Linked DNA regions of Xenopus tropicalis. The protein of the gene in region 2 interacts with the protein of the main gene of each other region in a pairwise test. Links are inferred from orthologs where the notes say so. Each region holds a gene or a part of one and is shown on either strand. Other genes may lie near its edges.

Region 1 (3,994 bases), on a different chromosome or scaffold from region 2:
GGGGTCCTGCTATATCTCTGGGGGCCCCTCTATATCTCTGGGGGCCCCGCTTTATCTCTGGGGGCCCTGCTATATCTCTGGGGGCCCTGCTATATCTCTGGGGGGCCCTCTATATCTCTGGGGGCCCCGCTTTATCTCTGGGGGCCCTGCTATATCTCTGGGGGCCCTGCTATATCTCTGGGGGCCTGCTATATCTCTGGGGGTCCCGCTATATCTCTGGGGGCCCCGCTATATCTCTGGGGGTCCTGCTATATCATTGGGGGCCTGCTACATCTCTGGGGGCCCCGCTATATCTCTGGGGGCCCTGCTATATCTCTGGGGGCCCTGCTATATCTCTGGGGGTCCCGCTATATCTCTGGGGGCCCTGCTATATCTCTGGGGGCCCTGCTATATCTCTGGGGGCCTGCTATATCTCTGGGGGCCCCGCTATATCTCTGGGGGTCCTGCTATATCATTGGGGGCCTGCTACATCTCTGGGGGCCTGCTATATCTCTGGGGGCCCCGCTATATCTCTGGGGGCCCGCTATATCATTGGGGGCCTGCTACATCTCTGGGGGTCCTGCTATATCATTGGGGGCCTGCTACATCTCTGGGGGCCCGCTATATCTCTGGGGGCCCCGCTATATCTCTGGGGGCCCTGCTATATCATTGGGGGCCTGCTATATCTCTGGGGGCCCCGCTATATCTCTGGGGGTCCTGCTATATCATTGGGGTCCTGCTATATCTCTGGGGGTCCTGCTATATCATTGGGGGCCCGCTATATCTCTGGGGGCCCCGCTATATCTCTGGGGGCCCGCTATATCATTGGGGGCCTGCTACATCTCTAGGGGCCCGCTATATCTCTGGGGGCCCCGCTATATCATTGGGGGCCTGCTACATCTCTGGGGGTCCTGCTATATCATTGGGGGCCAGCTATATCTCTGGGGGCCCGCTATATCTCTGGGACCCCACAGCAGTTGCAGGGTCTCCTTCCTTTAGGGTCACACCCCCTCTCCATTTAGACTGTAAGCTCTTTCGGTCCTTTATCATCACTGATAGCGTTTATTACAGCACAAACTCTGACATAGTATATCGCTAACACGCTGCTAAACTGAGTAGAGCTACTAAAGGGCAAGTTAATACTTTAGGGGGCTCTTCCCCATTCCCCCCACATAACAGCTGAACCCCACATGTCACCGTGTCTCTCCGCCGCCGGGACAATATCAGCCCCTCATCCCCTTCCCCCAGCAGCTCAAGTAAAGAATCCGCCAGTGTCACAGAGTCAGCGGCATGAGGCCACGCCCAGCCACTCTCCTCCTCCAATCATCGCACGGCTTCTCTGTGCATAACGTCACCGGCGCCCCGCTCATTGGCTGGCTATATTAAGAACGCAGCTTGCCTGTTTATAAGGCCGGAGCGCTGCATTACTGGGTGTGAATGAGCTCTGAGAGCCGAGCGGTGTGGTTGTGTGTGAGAGAGCTGCTCTAGCGGTACCGGCGTGTAGTACCGAGGAACTGCATCCTACAGACCCGTCTCTTTCTGAGAGGCCTCGCCATTAGAGCCATAGGCAAGCTGAGAAAGCACCGGGCAGCCTCTAGCAGCAGCAGCCGGGCAGCCATGGCCGCGATACGCAAGAAGCTGGTGGTGGTCGGGGACGGAGCTTGCGGCAAAACCTGCCTCCTCATCGTCTTCAGCAAGGACGAGTTCCCCGAGGTGTACGTTCCCACCGTGTTCGAGAACTACGTGGCCGATATCGAGGTGGACGTGAAGCAGGTGGAGCTGGCCCTGTGGGACACGGCGGGGCAGGAGGACTACGACCGGCTGCGGCCTCTCTCCTACCCCGACACGGACGTCATCCTCATGTGCTTCTCCGTGGACAGCCCGGACTCGCTGGAGAACATCCCGGAGAAGTGGGTGCCCGAGGTGAAGCACTTCTGCCCCAGCGTCCCCATCATCCTGGTGGCCAACAAGAAGGACCTGAGGAACGACGAGCACGTCCGCAACGAGCTGGCCCGCATGAAGCAGGAGCCGGTCCGCACCGAGGACGGCAGGGCCATGGCCGTGAGGATTAACGCCTTCGAGTACCTGGAGTGCTCGGCCAAGACCAAGGAAGGGGTCCGGGAGGTGTTCGAAACGGCCACTAGGGCGGCGCTGCAGAAGAAACACGGCCGGAGCGGTGAATGTATGAGCTGCTGTAAGCTCCTCTGATCCCCCCCGGACTCATCCTGCTCTGCACAGAGGGGACATTCCGCCTGAGACACTATTGCTTCCGGTAGTACAGGGAGAGGGGGGACTGCCCTTCCCTGGGACCCAGCTCAGAGCCACAGGGGCTGCTACCCCACAGCTGAGCCGCCATCATGGAACATGGAGAATGAGTGGGGTATTGGGGCATCACCATGGGCATCTCCTTGCCCCAGAGCCTCAGTATTACCCTGTACATAGGACTTCTGTCTCTCCATCTTGTCATGCCTTGTGGGGGGGAGAAGCTGCATGGGCTGTACCCCAACTGCCATCTTTTCTACCCCCTTTGTGCCCTTTAATGTTTCACGCTCAGGGCAGCGGGGAGTTGTGTAGCTGTTCCACGTAGTCGCCCTCATACTGTTACATTGGGGGTTATTCCTATAGCCACATTGGCTAGCAAACCCCGCAATCCGGCTACGAGCAGCAGCTACAAAACTGTCATTTGCTGAGCTGTAACTGTGACCCCCCCTCAGGGGTAGAGAGGCATTAACCACTTCAGTGCTGAACTAAAACCAGCTGTGCATTGATTGCTGGGCTCTCCCATTGCACCAAAGGGGGCAGGGGGGAATACTTTTGGATACATTTTTGTTCTGAATGATCAGAACCGGGTAAAATGTTTTTCTGTGACTTTCGCAAATTTAATTTTTTTTTTTGCACATTTTCCCCCTTTATTTTTGACGTTTAACGCACTTGCCATCCTCAAGTGTAACACTAGGGACTCATTCTTTGCACACTGATCTGTCCTTTAATAACTGCGGCATGGCGTGTTAGTGCAGCGGCACAAGGGGCAACGTGGGGGTGCTCTAACGGCCACTTGGTGTTTAGTAGCCCCCCATAGAATGTAATGAGAAGTGCTGAGGGTGCTACTATTGCACCGTGCTACAGAAAAATGCAGCACAAAGTGCCCAATGTTGCCCCATGTGCTGTGGCCCTTAGCCTTCATGCCTCCCAACAGCTCTTAGCCACAGTCTGGGGAATGTTGGGAGTTGCAGTTGAGTCGTTATGTTTTCCTTATTCTGCAACTGACACTACATTGTTAAAGTCCAGTTTGGGGGAGGGGGGGGGGGTAAAAAAGCTATTTTTGGACAGTGGTACTAAATTTGTGATTTTCAAGACAAAACAAAGCTGACAGAACAGTATGAAATGAATTTTTGAATGTTTACATAAAATGTTGATATGTATATATTGGTTTTTATGTGAAATATTAAAAAAAAGCACTATGTAAACCTATTTCCCTTGCATTGTGTTTATTAGGTTAATGCTGTAATATGGTGCTAAACTGCATCTCTCTGCACCTCTTTGGGAATGTAGTGCTGGGCATCTGCATGGTGTTCTACATCTGTATATGAAGGAAGAGTTATTGTTTATGCATTGGGATGCTAATTTATGACTATGGCTGCACTGATTGAAACTGGAGAAACTACAACTCCCAGCACACACCACTAGCCCAGCCATGTACCTCAGAAGGCTAACTGGTTAGGTTTTACAGTTCATTTGCAACTGCCATTGAAAACCGTATCAGTCAGGTTGTTTTTATCTCCTGAAACAATGTAGCAGAAGCCAGTGGATTAACTGGCCTGCAGGATAACTGGTTTATGCTACATTGTTTCAAAAGTCGGAACCAGAGAACAGTGAAGGGCTGACATATTGCTATCAATGGCAATCACATTTGCTATAGTTTAACTGCTTCAGGGCCATAAGCTGGCTACTCCTGATTTTAGGGCTCCCACCTTTTTAGCTTAGTGCCCAAGGCTTTCATGATATACCAAGTCCA
Region 2 (3,651 bases):
TATTATAGAAGAAGAGAGAGTGTCTGATTACATATTACATTCCGAGCAAACACAGCATGATTTAAATTCAAATGTTCACGACCAAAGCAGCACAGTACAAATAAGGGGTGAAGCAGCTGTAGAACATCCCACTTTTGACAATACAGGGTATAATATCTATGAAAATAAACAAAACAAAGTATTCAGTGATATTGAATATACATATTGCCCATTCAGTGCACAATTTGACTCTTCAGATGTTACAGATGAACGTCACCAAACAGATCACCAAGAATCACAAAGCTTTTCACATTCACATAAAGAAGATACATTTTTAGAAAGCTGCAGTCTTGGTCAAAATGACGAAGCACCAAGTGCATTAGAAAGGGAGCTTCCAGAACCAAAATGGGAATATCTATCTGAGGCAACATTTTCAGAAAAGGAAACCTACAATTTACCACCTTCTGCTTTAAGCGAGCATCACTTTGAATCATTGCCCTACACTGGTATCAACGCATTAGGCACAAATTGTATGACTATATCAGATGTAGCAACAGGGCAACATGATGAATACCTACAGGTTTCTGAAAGGGCTTGTGAAATGGACTCCTCTCAAGACAAACACTCAATGTTAAGTTCACCTGATCACTCACCACTAAGTCTGACTGAGGAGAAACCTTCAATACCTAAAATTCCTTATGAACAATATTCAGAGCTAGATGCCCAGAAAGAGGAATCTCAAAGCATTTCGGGATCATCTTCTGAAGCTAGTACACCTGTTAGAAGGGATATTGCTGAAGGTTTATATTCACATATGATTAGTACTTACACTGCAGATACCGAAGCAACTGTTAGAAGTCTGTGGGATGTATCACCTCTGGTTCCTGCTGATTCCACCAAGCCCTGTTTGGCAGAAGAAAAGGATTCAGCTGGAGATCATAATTCTGCTTGTTCCTATGATACGGATGATAATACATTGCCATGCAGAATAGAGTGCAAGAGACCAACTTGCATGATGATGTCCATTATGAATGAGCAAATGAGCAGTGGTGAAACAACTTCAGCAACAATGCAATCATATTCTAGTCTGGTGCCATCATGTCAAAAGGAAGAAACATCCACAGCAAATGGTCCCACAGAAGTTAATAACAGCCAAGAGTTTTTTCAAAACATCCAATATAAAGAAGGTGAATGTTTTTCAGCAGCAGTAAAAACCTCACCTGATTCTGACAGAGATTCATCTCCATGCTCTGAGGAGGATACAGAGAAACCAAACCGACCTTCTTCTCTTATGTCCCCTGTACATACATTAGAGTCTTACTCTTACACACAAAGTCCTGAGAGAACAGAAGACCACGGTGATGCCTCTCATGAGTTTGAGCCTCGGTTAGGATCATCAAGTGAATATGAGCGCATGTTGTCATCATCTGAATATCTACACAGAAAAGGCGAACTTTCTCCTTCATTCATCAACCCAAGTCCTCTTGACTTATCAGATGACAGTGATCTCTCACAAGATGAAGGTCATCCTTCTGTTAAAGGTAGGACACACCATGCAAATGCAAATACATGCCATGTTCAAGGCACAACAGCTGAGGAAACACCACCTACATCTGTTAGTGACTCAGGAACCTCTCAATCTGATTCTGATGTTCCACCAGAAACTGAAGAGTGTCCCTCCATAACTGCTGATGCTGCAATGGATTCAGATGAAGATGCTGATTTTCTTCCTGTGGATAAAGCAATGGGGAATTCACACCACAGCAATACAAGGCAAGGTCATGATCCTCATCCTGCTCCAATGATGGACCCTCAGCCTCACCCTCCTCACCCTGATGTTTGCATGGTAGATCCAGATGCTTTAGTTAATGAATTAAATTTCAGTAAAGGGGACAAGGTGCTCAAAAAAGATCTAAAAGAGAAAAACAAAGGAGTCAGAAAACCATTAACAAAAGTCAAATCAACTTCTCCTGCTAGGAAAGCAGACTCTAAGTATTCCTCAACACTCTCTAAACAAACATCCAGGGACTCAGCTGATAAATCTCACAAAACTACAGCTATAAGGAAAGATAAGGAATCTGCTGAAAAACTGCAGAAACCAAGAAGCCCGATGCAGACACAGTTCTCTAGAGGGGAAGAAAAAGACGAAGTGTCTAAAGGCAGTTACAGTAATACTAGCAAGATGGTTAATGGCATCAAGTCATCTACAGGTAAATACATATTCCACGTCTATTGTATTTTCTGTGCAATATTTTTATTTATAGGGATGAGACACTGTTTTATAGATAAAACCACAAAAGTTTAGGAAGATTTTATCTGTCTTACCCTTGAAATATAGTGCCAAATCCAGGAGTTGTGGGACATAAGCACACACACAAACAATTACCAAGTCCATTTATTAACGATTGGTTAAAACATTACTGATCATTTAAAATATGACAGTTTAGTTTCCATACAGAACAATTTCTTTCAGTACAAAAAATAATTGTCTGAATTTAGTCCCCACTTGCAATTTTTTAGATGGGTGTTTGTGCTCAGTGCTGCTGCTGCTGAGATATGTTGCGCACTAACACCCAATTGAAGCTGGATTGTGTTTAACTGCACAAAGCAATATTTGGCAGAATTTAAACATCTGTCTGCTTTAATAAATGTGTGAGCTTGTCAACGTTTTTCCAACAAGTGAAGGGAAAATGTACATGAATGCAAATTAGGAGAAAACTGCTGAAGAAGTATGTGTGTATATATACAGTACTTGTGCAGCAAAATGTAATATGCATTAAATACTTCAGATAAATCCCTATATTAACAGTAATAATCAACAATAAACAACAAATACACAAAAACATTTTCACATAGGGCTCTCTGAAGCTGGAATCCATGGCAAAAGCTCTACTGCAGGGGTCCTACTGCAGTTCACAGTCCCTCAGACTGTGGGGGGCCGAACTATAGTTAGTCCTCAAACTACGGCCCCCACCCCCATTGTATCCTCAACCTTAGCTACTACCTGTCTGTCCCAGTGTGGTCCTTGGCCCCAGCGTGTCACGTCATCGCATTATACCGGCAACCACTAATGACGCATCCAGCGAGGACCACACTAAGGCAGACAGGTAGTAGCCAGGGGTGAGGATAGGGCGGGGGCTAGGTAAATTACCTTGGGGGGCGTAGTTTGAGGACCCATGGTCTACTGGCTCATCCTAGAAAAAAAAGTGTGTGTTTGACCTATCAGAACTGACCAGTAGTTGGTATTAAAGTTGTCAACTAGATGGCATACTGCACAATGAAAATGTTGTCTAGCATGAGTGATACAGTAATAGCAATATATTGATACAATATTTCAACCAGCACAATAAGACCTTGTATTAATAAATGTGGTAAAACACTGTAATAAGTAAAGAGTTAATATGATGACCAAACTGTTCTTCAGCTGCTATAAATACTGTATATATGCTATATATTCATGCTTTTTACCATTTTCAGGTCTCAGCGGCTCCAAAGCAAGTTCCACAGTTCCACCTGGGCCACCAGTCTATGTTGACTTGGCATATATTCCTAATCACTGTAATGAGAAGAATACGGATTTGGAGTTCTTTAAGAGAGTTCGTTCTGCATATTATGTTGTAAGCGGTAATGATCCAGGTAACGGAGAGCCAAATCGAGCTGTGTTAGATGCAC

Evidence for each region.
Region 1: the proteins of map1a (region 2) and rhob interact in a two-hybrid assay, tested with the Homo sapiens proteins (2 studies listed by BioGRID and IntAct). The link is inferred for Xenopus tropicalis from reciprocal best matches to the Homo sapiens genes MAP1A and RHOB.

The regions. Positions count from the first base shown.
Region 1 is NC_030681.2:143,341,361-143,345,354, forward strand, and holds rhob (rho-related GTP-binding protein RhoB), read left to right. Parts: upstream 1-1,425; 5' UTR 1,426-1,596; coding exon 1,597-2,187; 3' UTR 2,188-3,450; downstream 3,451-3,994. UniProt on the Homo sapiens protein: Mediates apoptosis in neoplastically transformed cells after DNA damage. Not essential for development but affects cell adhesion and growth factor signaling in transformed cells. Plays a negative role in tumorigenesis as deletion causes tumor formation.
Region 2 is NC_030679.2:107,201,144-107,204,794, forward strand, and holds part of map1a (microtubule-associated protein 1A), read left to right. Parts: coding exon 1-2,189; intron 2,190-3,456; coding exon 3,457-3,651. UniProt on the Homo sapiens protein: Structural protein involved in the filamentous cross-bridging between microtubules and other skeletal elements.